Linked DNA regions of Mus musculus. The protein of the gene in region 1 interacts with the protein of each later gene in a pairwise test. Links are inferred from orthologs where the notes say so. Each region holds a gene or a part of one and is shown in the gene's direction. Other genes may lie near its edges.

Region 1 (6,738 bases):
TCTCTTAGTACTCAGCACCATAACCAATTGCTTCCCTGACATTACACCTTAGATGACTCTGTGGATCATACTCAAAGAATAATCTTTCTTTTGAAATATATTATTTTCTGGCCAGGTATAGTGTTGCACCCCTTTAATTCCAGCACTTAAAAAGCAGAGGCAGGTGGATCTCTGTGAGTTCAAGGCCAGCCTAGTCTACAAAGTGAGTTCCAGGACAATCAGGGCTATTATATAGAGAAACCCTGTCTTGAAAAACATTAAATATGTGTGTGTGTATGTATATATTACATATGTACATATCATATGTATATATTATAATTATGTGTGATACATGTGTATATATGAATATTACATATATATTCTAATCATACTTACATACATTGTGCTGGCTGGTTTTGTGTGTCAATTCGACACAATCTCGAGTCATCAGAGAGGAAGGAGTCATAATTGAGGAAATATCTTGATGAGATCCAGCTTTTTTTCTCAATTAGTGATCAATGGGTGAGGCTCAGCCCATTGTGAGTGATACCATACAAGGCTGGTAGTCCTGGGTTCCAAAAGAAAGCTGGCTGAGGAGTAAACCAGTAAGCAGCACCCTCCATGGCCTCTGCACCAGCTCCTGCCTCCAGGTTCCCACATGCTTGAGTTCCTGTCCTGTAAGCCAAATAATCTCTTTCCTCCTCAATGTGCAAAGGCACATCGTGTTTCTTTCCAGCAATAAAAAAACCTAAAACAGGGCTGGTGAGATGGCTCAGTGGGTAAGAGCACTGACTGCTCTTCCGAAGGTCCTGAGTTCAAATCCCAGCAACCACATGGCAGCTCACAACCATCTGTAATGAGATCTAATACCCTATTCTGGAGCATTTGAAGACAGCTACAGTGTACTTACAAATAATAATAAATAAGTCTTTGAGTCAGAGTGAGCAGGGACTGAGAGAGCAGGGTTGACTGGAGTGAGCGGAGCTGACTGGAGCAAGCAGAGATCCTAAATTCAATTCCCAACAACCACATGAAGGCTTGCAACCATCTGCAACATCTACAGTGTACTCATATACATAAAATAAATAAATAAATCTTAAAAAAAAAACCCTAAAACAGTCTTACATAAACACCGTTGAAACATTTTAATTTTGTATATGCAGTGAAATAGGGATTTAAATTCTTTCTCCTTTCGCATGTGAATGTTCAGTATTTTCATTAGTAATTATATTGTACCTACTAATTTTTAATTTTGTATGGGTGTTTTTGTCTGAATGTGTTTATGAACCGCATTCAGGCTTTGGCTTGGTGCTGAAAAAAGTATCTGATTCTTGGGACTAGAGTTACAGGCAGTTTTGAATGCATGCATGGGTGCTGGGACTCAGACTTGAGTCCTCTGGAAGAGTAGCCAGTGCTCTTTGACTACTGGGTCATTTATAGTTGGCTCATTACTATTTACAGAAAAGATTATTTTACTAATGTCTTGTTCTGTGAAGGGTTTTTGATTTAAGTTTTCATTTTTCCCCCTTTACTTATTATAACCTTAATCCTCCTTGAATGCTTGTGCAAGGTCACTGTATTCAAAGGAAGCAGTTTAGGTCTTTCTATGACACAAGGCAACTAGTTTATGCGTTGGAAGGCGCTCCTGCCTACAACTTCAAAACTTTCAGTAGCATTTTAGTTGTCTGTAGCCACCAAGACTTTGTTCTAGCTGGGGGTGTGGTGGCACTTGGGAGGCAGAGGCAAGAGGATCTCTACGAGTTGGAGGCCAGTCTGGTTGACATTGCAATGTTCTATAATAGCCAAGGCTATTAGTGAGACCCTGCCTCAAAACACAAGAACAAAAGATGTGTCCTGAAGGGTCGTCTTTTTGTGCCCCCTCATCTCCCCCGCCCCCAACAGGGTTCTATGTCCTGTCCTGGAACTCACTTTGTAGATGAAGATGGCCACGAACTCACAGAGATCCGGTAGCCTCTGCCTCTATCACCCGGAGTCACGAATGTGGCAACAGCAAGCATGAGGGGCCTATAAAAATACTATACGGGTAATTCACTATATTCAGTGAGGGTTGGTCCGGGCCTCAGAAGCGCGCAAGTCGTCCCACCGGGAGGAGCCTAAGCAGTCAGTTTGACCCCAGACATTCGGCCTGCAGGCAAAGCGCTGGTCTCCCTGAGGGCTGCGGCAGCGGGCCTGATTCTCCCTCCCTCCGAAGTCCTAGCAGTTCTCTTGCTCCAGGCAAGTAGTTTACAACCTGGAGGATTTTAGCCCCCGGCCTTCCTTACGGCGTTTTCCCGCTTCCTTTTCCCGTCTTCGCTAACTCGCCTCTGCGCGCAGCGGAAGTGACGCAAGACGTAGAGGAAGTCCCTGCAGCCGCGGTGTTGTGCTGTAGAGAAGGGACGGATTTGTAAACCTCAGAGTGAGGTTCTGCCTGCCGGAGGCCGCAGTGGTGCGGAGACCCCCGGGTGAATCCACGTCACCATGTCTGACCAGGTACCGGGCCGGGGCCTTAGGGCTCAGGGCCGTCGGCCGCGGGCTGGGGCCCTGGACTGAGGCGCGGGGGAGGGGGCGGCTGGAGAAGGGGGCTGCCCGTGGGGAGGGGGCCGCGAGGGACGCGGGGCGCCTGGCGGAGTCGGGCCAGGCCGCCTGGGACCCCGGGGCTCTGGGTTCCACGCGCCCTCCGCGCCCCTCTCCGAGGCCCCTACCCCCGCGCCACCCGGCGCCGGGGCTCTCTCGACGGCGCCCAGGTTTCTCGCGGGCTCGCAGGGGGCCCAGGCCCGCTCCCTTGTCCCCGAGAGCAAGCTGAGGGGAAAACGACCGTTTCCCTTCGGACGACGGATGGCAGAAACCAGGCCCTAGGCCCAGTTATGTAACGGGAGGGAAATCCCCGACTGGGAGGCTAGGTGGCCCTGAAAAGCAGCTCGACTCCACTTTGGGTTCTTGGTCCCGGAGAGTGGGGGGCGGCCGGGGAGCCGTGTCTGAGGTGACTGGGAGCCCAGAGGACGCTGCTTTTCCGTTGTGTTTGCCTGGAGGGTCCGTCCATCTCTGCACACCTCAGTCTTTTTTTTTTTTTTTTCCTTCCGGGGGTGCGGAACGGTCCGCTCTTTCGCTGTACTTTCCATTTCTTACTCGGGATTGGTCCATCAACTCTCCAGTTCTCAGAGCGCTCAGAATAACCGAGAAACAGCAAACTGTGTATGGAGTGCCACCACCAACAAGCCATTTCGTCTGGGCTTTAACCAGCAGATGCTTGGCACTTTAAAAAAAAATATAGCACGTTTTTTGTTCTTTGATAATCAGATGACGCATTTAGATTATATGCACCCCCAAACCTCTCTTCCAGAAGTTTCTGAACTAATTTTCGAAGAAATAGAGAAAAAAAAAGTTATCCGTGTTGTACAATTGCAGAATATTTGCAGAAAGCTGTCAATTAGTAGTAAAACAGTGTGTCTCGGTTTTGGAATCAAGGATTTGCATGGTATTTGCCTTCAAATAGGAGTGACTCCTTGCCACCTAAATTTTTCTTCATCCTATTTTAGTTACTACCTTTGTGGCTAGTTTTTATATACATAAGGTTTTGGTCTGACTTTGCTTTGGTTTGCTCAGATGACTTAATTTTCAGAGTATTTTTTTTTTAACTTTTTCTTCTTTTGTGATAATTATTCAGTAAACTTTTTCATTCAACTTCACAATGTAGTTGGACTTTTTTAAAAAAAAAATTTGTTGTTGTTGTTTGAGACACGGATTTTCTGTGTAGCCTTGGCTTTCTAGGAACACTCTGTAGACCAGGCTGGCCTCCAATTTATAGAGATCGGCCTGTTTCTGTCTCCTGAGTGCTGGGATAAAAGGCTTGTGCCACCACAGACTGGCCAGGGTGGTTCTATTTTTATAGCCTATCTACACTGTAGACTAATTGTGGCATGGATTTACTTATTAATAATCTGAATTAATCCTCTTTTGGGATAGAAATGACTTTATGAATAATTTGTTTATGACAGTTGTTTACTTAGTTACCAGCTCAGAAAGATCAGCTGTAAATGCTTAAGTCCTGGAACTCTGTAGACCAGGCTGGCCTTGAACTCAGAAATCCCCCACTACCTCCCAAGTGCTGGGATTAAAGGCGTTGCCACCACGCCTGGCCTTTGTTTTTTCTTTTCTTTCTTTCTTTTTTTTTTTTTTTTTTTTCTTTTTTTTTTGGGTTAATGCTTAAGTTTCATCAGCCTTCTATTTTGGAAGAGCTAGAAAGCATGTTAGCCTGAAGAGAGGGCAACACACAGAAAGAGTTCTAAGTTTTAGGATTAGTTTTGCTCTAGTTTGAACTCACATTATATAAGGATATGGAGAAAGAAAGGAGGACCCAAGGGCACACACAGGGTTTCAGGGGATCGCAAAGTCACACTGTTGCTTGCTGTAGCACTCACCTCACTGGTCACCGGGGTTATTAGGTGTTGGACCTAGGGCCTCCCACATGTGCTTGCCAGGCAAGTGCTACAGCCTCATTTTTTCTTTTACTTTGTTTCACTAAGTTGCCTAGGTTGGACTGTAGCACAGCTTGCCTTTGAACTTGAACCTGGACTTCTCTCAGCCTTGCAGAGTAGCTGGGATTACAGAGTTATACTGTCACGCCTAGATGGTGTGTGTGTATGTATGTGTGTGTGTCTGTTTTTCTCATTCATGGATATTCAGTGAAGTTTTTAAGAAACATGACAGAAAAATGGAGCAAATCTTTTTTGTAGCCTTACAGCTTCTCACAGTTTCTTCTGTGTCTATCTCCTGAGTGCTGGGATTAAAGATGTCTACCACCACACCTGGCAAAACAAGTCTTTTTAATTGAGCTACACATTAAAGCAATTTGCATATGAAATAGTGCTGCTACTCTTAGAAATTTTGTCTTTAAAAAAAGTAATAAAAATGTATGCTAACGTTTTTTAGGGGTTATTTATTGATTCAAGTTAAGGGTTTCTCTGTAGCCTTAGTTGTCCTGGAACTTGCTCTATAGATCAGCTTGTCCTCAGATCTGCCGGCCTCTTACTCCCAGAATGTATATACCACCATGGCTCAGTTGATAGGTTTTTATTTTTTTTAATTTATTGTATATATGAGTACATTGTAGCTGTGTTCAGACACAACAGAAGAAGACATCAGATTTCATTACAGAGGGGTATGAGCCACCATGTGGTTGCTGGAATTAGAACTCAGGACCTCTGTAGAGCCGTCAGTGCTGAAAGTGGGTCCTATATTAGTCAAATCCCAAAGGTCACCCCAGATTCATGGAAAGACCTACCTCATTTCTAAATAGGAGTTAAAAAGAAGTTGAAGTTATTGTTAGTCTTCTACATGACTTGTATTTTTGCTGCTGTGATAGCATTAGTTTTTACAGTGTTCTTTATAGCTTGTTATTAATTTCTGCTGGTCTTGGTAACAGCTTGAGTTTGCAGGAAAATAAATGGTTGTATATTAAAATGTTTATCATTCATATTATAGAACATATTAAACTAAAGCAGTTTACTGTCTAGTTTGTGTTGAATGCCTTAAGTATTCTAGGAGAGGAGTGTTATATATTTGGTCTTTTTTTTTTTTTTTTTTTTTTTTTTTGAGACAGGGTTTCTCTGTATAGCCCTGGCGGTCCTGGAACTCACTTTGTAGACCAGGCTGGCCTCAAACTCAGAAATTCACCTGCTTCTTCTGCCTCCCCAGTGCTGGGATTAAAGGCATGCACCACCACGCCCGGCTATATTTGGTCATCTTGATTGAGATATTGCTAGTGAATATTGCAAACCCATTATAATGAAGCAGTTCAATTATAACAACTATTTTATAATATGTTGAAACAGTAGGATAATTCTGCTTAGAGTATTCACAGTTGAGTAGTTGGAAATTCAAAACTGTAAAACTTCTTTTTGAGACAGGATCTCTAACCCTGACTATTCTGGAACTTCCTATTATGTAGACCAGGATGGTCTCTGACTCCTGGGATTAAAGGTATATACCACCACACTCTGCAAGTAAACCATTTTTCAAATTGTGATACTCCTATATAGTTAGTTATATTAGCTCTGTTATAACACATAATATTCCTTACATAAGTATTTTTCTAATTTTTTTTGTTTTGTTTTTGTTTTTTTTGAGACAGGGTTTCTCTGTATAGCCCTGGCTGTCCTGGAACTCACTCTGTAGACCAGGCTGGCCTCGAACTCAGAAATCCACCTGCCTCTGCCTTCCAAGTGCTGGGATTAAAGGCGTGGGCCAACACCACGCCCCAGGACTTCTAAGTTTTTTAAAGATTTATTTTATGTGAATGGGTGCTCTGCTTACATGCATGTATATGTACCATGTACATGCCTGGTGCCTCTGGAGGTCATAATAGCATCAAATCTCCTGGAACTGGAGTTAGGTATGATTGTTAGCTGACATGTGGATACTGGGAGCTGAACCTAGGTCCTCTGGAAAAGCAGTCAGTGCTGTTAACCATTGAGCCATGTCCTTAGCCATTCACGAGGATTGTTTGTTAAAACATCTTTGGCATTCCCTTCTGGAATTCTCTGAGACTGTAAATATTTTCACAGATAATTATAATATTCAATTTTAGATGGTGATTTGTAGGCAAGTTCACACATATTATTGTGCATCTTAATTTTGTAGTTCAAAAACCGGGTATTACTGTAGTATATCTTTATTTTTATTTATTCCTTAATTTATTTTGGTTTTTCGAGACAGGGTTTCTCTGTGTATCCCTGGCTGTCCTGGAACTCACTGTGTAGA
Region 2 (6,720 bases), on another chromosome or scaffold:
AATGTCTGGATTATATAGGGAGGAACCACTGTGGGAAGGGCAGTCCAGCTCCTGGACTGGAAGGTTTAGGGTTGGGGCAGGGTATTCCAGATAGAGACTGAGGGATGCTGGGAAAACCTGTAAGCCAGGTCTGCTTTTGTATGCAAAATATGCATCTCAGGGCCTGGCAGTGGTGGCTCACGCCTTTAATTCTAGCACTTGAGAGGGAAAGACTGGCAGATTTCTGAGTTCGAGGCCAGCCTGGTCTACAGAGTGAATTCCAGAACAGCCAGAGAAACCATGTCTCGAATAAACAAAACAAAACAAAAAAACCAACCAACCAAACAAACAAACAAACAACACAAGGCACCTCAGTCCCTTGTCCCAGGTCTGGAAACCAAACACCATCTTTTCAGTTATTTTTTATTTTAAGATTTACTATTTTTATTTTATACGTATGGCTCTTTGCCTGCATGCATCTCTGTATACCACATGCATACCTGAGGCCAGGAGAGGGTGTCTGATCCCTTGGAACTGGAATTAGTGACAATTATAAGCTGCTATGTGGGTGCTGGGAACCCAACCCTGAACCTTTGCAAGAGCAACAAGTACTTTTAACTACTGAGCCATCTCTCCGGCCGATGCCTTTTCTACTCTTACTCTTACTCATATCTCCTCTGTAAAACTAGCTGGCTTTTCATGTCCTCAAATTCACCTGCTTTTACGGTCTTAAACCGAGTTTTATGGAGCATGCTAGTACCCTGTTGTCTCAAAGCTTCAAAGGTGCTAAGAAAAATCAGCGTTTATCCTAAGCCCTGAAGGAAAGTCCCCTTTTGTTCCAACTTCTAAGTAATAATGGCTTTGGCAGTTTGCACAGATAGACCATTAAAAGTTCCTTGTAATATTAAGCATGGGACCTTGAAGAGTTGTTAATTATTATTTTCAAATTATTGATATTGTAGGATTCTTAACATGTGGCAAACACTTCTAATATTAATATGAATCTTACCACCAAACTAGCCTTGAGAAATGTGCTAGTGTGTTTTGTGTCTATTTGTGTGTGTGTGTGTGTATGTGTGTGTGTGTGTGTGTGTGTGTGTGTGCTGGGGATAAACTTAAGGCCTCATCTATGCTGGGGAAGCCCCACCTCCACCCCCGACCACATACCCACACACACCATTTCTTTTTCCTGGCTTGCTCCCATTGAAAACTGGCCAGTCTGATAGAGGGGGGTGAGCTTCCAGCAGCAGGGACACCTCCAGCTGGTCTTCCGCTCTGCCTTCAGGGTCACAGAGGAGAGGAGACAGCAGGGTTAGGATACTGGAGGTTGGAAGTCAGGGTAGCTCACAGGGAGAAGGGCCAGGAGCTCTGGTTCCAAGTCCCCAAGCCCTATGCCCCTATTCCTGGGTTTTCCCTCCAAGTCTCAAAGTCTCAGCTGCTTTTAAAGGACCGCAGGTTGGTTGAACTGGCATGCATAAAGAAGGTCATTGAGTCTCAAGGGCACTCGAGTGAATAGTGTCCGGGTGTTACAGGGTTCCATTGCACTGAAGACCTGCCCAAATGGGGATGGCAGGAGGCAGCCATCCCTAGTAAGGGATGCTATCAGAAGGTAAGGTCTTACTCAAAAGGACAGAGAGAACTGTGGGCCTTGCAGTAGGAGCTCGGCTGGCATCCTGATTCTCCGAGATCAGCCTCCCAGTGTGCAGAGTCCCGTGGCTTTTTCCTCACCCCTAAAGCTACAGACTGTGGTATAACTATCTTTGAGGTCAGTCCCAACGGATGCATCAGGATATCTAGAGCTGGGTGTGGTGGTGCACACCTGTAGTCTCAGCAGGTAGGAGGTGGGAGGATGAGAAGTACAAGGCCAGCCTCAGCTAGACAGTGAGTTTGAGGCCAGCCGGCTTGGGCTAAATGAAACCCTATTTCACACAGGTTGGAAAGGGGGCCCTGGGAGCCCTTTACAGAAGCCTGAATTCTCATGGCTTCTCTTTGCTATGTCAGGGCAGGCACTTTTCACTCCAAATTAACAACTGGGGAGACAACCAAGGCTTAGGAGAGGGTGCTGCCTGACACCCCCTCACCCGTGCCCCACCGTTGGTGACCGAGCCATGGTGGGCAGCTGAGGGACTTGTCTGGAAGACACAGATGAGAGTCAGTGGGAGTGACCTTGGGTCAGGACCCAGGCAGGGTAGAAAAGAACATTTGATTTCCCTCCCGGTTTGGGCTGACTGGGTAAACGTCCAAGAAAGTGCGATTAGAGGGAACTCAGAGGGAGGGAGAGCGCGAAGCAAAGGAGTTCTCGGCGGGCGAGCATCAGATATTGCCCTCCCCCTAATAACTCCCGCCTGCCGTCCCGTGAGATAGGTGGGCTGGCTTCCTTCCGTGAAATTGACAACAGGCTTAGAGGGGTTAGTCCACCGGTCTAAGCTCACCCACTTCAAAAGCAAAGGAGTCCGAACTGGAATTCTGTGGACTCTCAAGCTCTTAAGTGGTGTTAAGTGGGTTTGGGGCGCCAAGCTACGGGACCCGGGCTACAAAGCGTTAAAGAACCTTGGCCCTCTCCTCACTCCTCCTAGTTCCCTCCCTCCTCCTCCCTCGCCTCTCCCCAGGCTCTTCCGGTCCCGCTCTTGCAACACCACCCCCGCCACTCTCCCTTCCCCTCCTACCTTCTCTCTCCCCTCAGCTTAAATTTTCTCCGAGTTTTCCGAACTCTGGCTCATGATCGGGCCTACTGGGTGCGAGGTCCTGGAGGACCGTACCCTGATCTCTATCTGCCTCTGACTTTCAGCTTCTCGAACTCGAGGCCCAGGCTGCCATCGCCCGGGCCACCTGGTCCGATCATCTTACTTCATTCACGAGCGTTGTCAATTGCTGCCCTGTCCCCAGCCCCAATGGGGGAGTGAGAGGCCACTGCCGGCCGGACATGGGTCTCCCCACCGTGCCTGGCCTGCTGCTGTCACTGGTGAGATGGGAGACTGGAGGGGAGGGTGGGTTGCTAGCGAGGCGCCGGGCAGGAGTGGGCTTGTACTAGGGGTAGAGATGGGGGCAGGGGCTTCTGTGCTTTAGTTTGACGCCAGGTTTGCTGTGCCTCACCTGGGGCTGCCCTGAGATGTGGAAGGGAGAAATCTGAGAGGGAGAGAATCTGGCAAGCCAAGCTGGCAAGCCTGGGCCCCTGACAGTCAAGGTCCTGGCCCGTGTTGGGCTGTGGTCAGGCCAGCTGCTCGGCCAGTGGAGTTAGACGGAGAAGCCTTCTTTCTCTGGCCGAGGTTGAACAGCGTGGGGCAGGGTGTTGGAAGACTGGGTGCTAGGAGAACCGCTTTGGCGGGACGAGTTTGGGAAAGCGTGCTTGGGAGTGGACCCGAAACTGGACAAAGCTGGGCAGCCTTCCGGTCCCAGACTTCTCCCTGAGACAGCCTCTGACCTTCTGCCGCCTCCATTTCTGCTTCCAGACAAGAGGTCCCTCCTGGCGTGACCCTCCTTAAGTAGCTAATACCTCTTTATCTAGGCCATGTATCCTCCTGCTCCCTCCCCACAGACCCAAAAGTCAGTCTCACGGTTTCCAATTCCACAGTTCCAATTGGGGAAGTTGGTAGCAGCTTGTTTTCGTCACTGGAAAATGTACTTTTCTCTGGCCTCGGCCTAGTGTTCATGTTCTCTTGATTTCTGTGTGTCCATAATTATTCTGTGTAGATCCTGGGGGCTCCCTGGCTGTCTGGGTGGGCTGTACCATCGGCGCAGTGTTCTCTGGGTCCTGCCTCTCCCTGGCCCAGCGTTATCCCTGAGACCTGCCTTTTTCTCCCTCCCCTTTCACTCCTCATTCTCTTCTGGTCAGTCTCCAGAGCCTCCTTGCGGGGGTGGGGTGGGGGGGTGGGGGTGGCTCCTTTGTGTCTATTCCCTTCCCTTTCTCTACACACCATTCTAAAGCAGTGGTCCTAGAACCCTGCCTGGGTGTCACCTCCCTTCTCCTGGTCCTGTCCTGTCTCCCAGTCTCTCCTGGGAGACTTGTCAAGGCTGCCCCTCTGGCTGTTCTCCAACTCCCCCACCCACTTAATTCTTTTCTCTTTAGGGGTAGATCACCTGGATTTAGGGCTCAGCCCAGCACCCTTACCCTCATGAACGCAGGCATGTGATGTGACTCCCCCGCTTTTTGTTTCTTTTATTTCCAAAATGTCTACAATGATCAGTACCTCATAGTTGTTATTAAGATTGAGTAGATGGATTTGTGTTAAATATTTATTCATTTCCTTCCCTGCTAGGTCCAATTCAGATTAGGTGAATGATCCCAAAGGGGAGTAAGAAGTATGCCACAAACAGAAAGGACTCAGCTTGGCTTCTCTCTTCTCATCTCTAGCAGTGATACTCGTCACTACTCACGTCACTACTCATTGTGACGGTAGATGTCACAATAACTGTCAGAGTGCAGTGGCCCAGCTAGGTAGAGGAGAGAGGCTGAGCCAGTTGTGGAGGCCCAGGTGAGGGTGGGGGCACCGTGAACAGAAGCAGATCCTGAAGACAAGGCACACGGAAGGCTACTGAAGTCTACATGGGGCTGGCCACTGCCTTATCAGTACAGAGCACAGTGCCTGTGAGGTGTTCAGGTAGGACGAGGTGCTGAGGTCATGAGGCAGTGATGGCCGTGGCAGGGATGTGGCAAGGCCAAGAAGACTTTGCTATTTTTAAAAAGTTTCAGTACAGGAGTGGAAATGACTTTAGAATACTCTGGAGGAAAAGACGTTCCAAGGCCTTGGTGATGTACTATCCCAGAGGCAGAACTGGGGGAGGAGGGTGGGCTATATGCCAACTGTCTTCTTGCTTAATGGCCTTTGCCTGTCTGCTGGGCTGAGCTTGCCTGCATAGACCCTAAGGCTCATAGTGTGTTATCATCTTTGGCTCATGGAGAGCTCTTGAAACTGTGAGCTATGTCCCATCCCCAGCACCTATCCAGGCCCTGAAAAAGAAACCTTGACCGTTGACTAATGGCTTAATCAATTCAGGAACAAGAGATTGGTCAGATGGGAACAAGGCGGGTGTTGCATAGAAAGGAGGACTTGGAACTGGTGTGCAGAAGCCAGGAGGAGGAAGAACAGAGGAGTTGGGCGCCTGGGTTGGGGGAATGGAGAGGTGGGACTTTGAAGTCACAGAAGCTGAACATCTCAGCTCGGGGTGGAGTGGCCATGTTGAGAAATGTGACAGAGAGAGAAGGGCACTCTGGCGTTTGTGAAAAAGAACCTTGAGCCAGTCACCTTGGGGCATGCCTGTTATCCTGGAACTTGGGAGATGGAGGCCAGTGCTCAGATCGAGGCCCAGTTTTGGCTATATAGGGAGCTGGAGGCCAGCCTGGATGACTGAGACTGTGTCTTAAAAACACCAAAAAGAAATAAAGAGTCATGCTTAAGGACCTAGGTGGGGGCCTGTTTTCCTCTTTCCCTCCCTCTCTCCCTCCCTTCCTCCCTCCCTCCCTCCCTCCTCCCTCCCCTTCCTCCTTTGCTATCCACCAAGCAGTCTGGCCAGACTGTGTTCCAAAGAACAGTGAGTTTCTCAGATGTATGTGCTCATGGAAGGATTTATCCATGGAAATGATGTTTGAAGCCAGGCCCTGGAGGTGCAGAGGAAGATTCACACCCAGGTGGTACAAGTTGAAGCCTGAATGTAGATAAGAAACTATGTAGGTAGCCTCAGCCCCTGCAAAGGTTTGAGGCAGGCACATCACTTGAACCAGAAGGTTCGTGGCAGCCTGAGCCACATAGTGAAGCCCTGAGACACCACTGTGGAGTAGGAAGGAGAAAGGCAGTTGTAAAAACCAGGGCTCCGGGTGTGGGGTAAAGGGTGGAGAGGTTCCAGAAGGACTGACTGATGAGTCTTAGGGCTGTTGCAGAGTTTGCAGCATTGGTACCAAGAAGTCGGTGGTGTGACATCTAGGCAAGGAGCTTGGTGAGCTCAGCTGGGGGCAGGTTAAAGTAGGTCACTGGCTGGCTAAGTGGAAGTGTGGTTGTGCTGTCTGGAGCAGCCCTTCTCAGCCTTTCTTCCAGCTAATTCCAGCTGCATGGCTCGTCAGCTGGACTCTGCAGGAGATGAGCAAATGTGGCAGAATTGTCACCAGGGACATGTGCACGAGTGTGCCCGTGTGTGGGGAAGGGGATGCACAGCTTCTAAAATACCTCCCAGAGGCAGAGTGTGTTTGAGGCAGGGGGATGCTGCTTCCTTCCATCCGGCTCCCTGACTGGAAGGCACCTCAGTCCCTCAGGTCTGCAGGCCTGGCTCTGGGTGATGTGACCAAGACATGCTCTGATCTCTTAACTCAGAGGGTTTGTGGTCTGTCTGGGGAGATTGTATCTACTCATTTGAAATAACTATAGCTTCTGATAAGAGCCCAGAGTAGATATGGATAGTTCGTGTTATTCAACCAGAACAGGCGGCTAGGTATCCGAGGAGCTTGGGTGGGGAGACATGAATCATCGACGGGGGGCTTCGTGGGTGGAAGGTAGGATTGCGGCAGCGTGGCAGCGCTCTCTGAGGAGGTCACACCGAAGAGCTCCTCACCACCGTAGGTCTTGACATTAAGTGGAACACAGTTTAACCTAATGTGCACGCTGATGTGGGGCTTAGTGAGTGGGTCCCCAAAAGGTGGCTGGGTCAAGTTTGACCACAGGGTCCATTTCATCTTCGCTCCCCTACTCAGCAGCCCCGGCACAGGAAGTCACACTTTAAGGCCTCTCTAGGCGGAAGCTGAGGAGTAGTTAG

Evidence for each region.
Region 2: the proteins of Sumo1 (region 1) and Tnfrsf1a interact in a two-hybrid assay, tested with the Homo sapiens proteins (2 studies listed by BioGRID). The link is inferred for Mus musculus from reciprocal best matches to the Homo sapiens genes SUMO1 and TNFRSF1A.

The regions. Positions count from the first base shown.
Region 1 is NC_000067.6:59,666,411-59,673,148, reverse strand, and holds the start of Sumo1 (small ubiquitin-related modifier 1), read left to right. Parts: upstream 1-2,314; 5' UTR 2,315-2,457; coding exon 2,458-2,469; intron 2,470-6,738. UniProt on the Homo sapiens protein: Ubiquitin-like protein that can be covalently attached to proteins as a monomer or a lysine-linked polymer.
Region 2 is NC_000072.6:125,347,122-125,353,841, forward strand, and holds the start of Tnfrsf1a (tumor necrosis factor receptor superfamily member 1A precursor), read left to right. Parts: upstream 1-2,601; 5' UTR 2,602-2,902; coding exon 2,903-2,941; intron 2,942-6,720.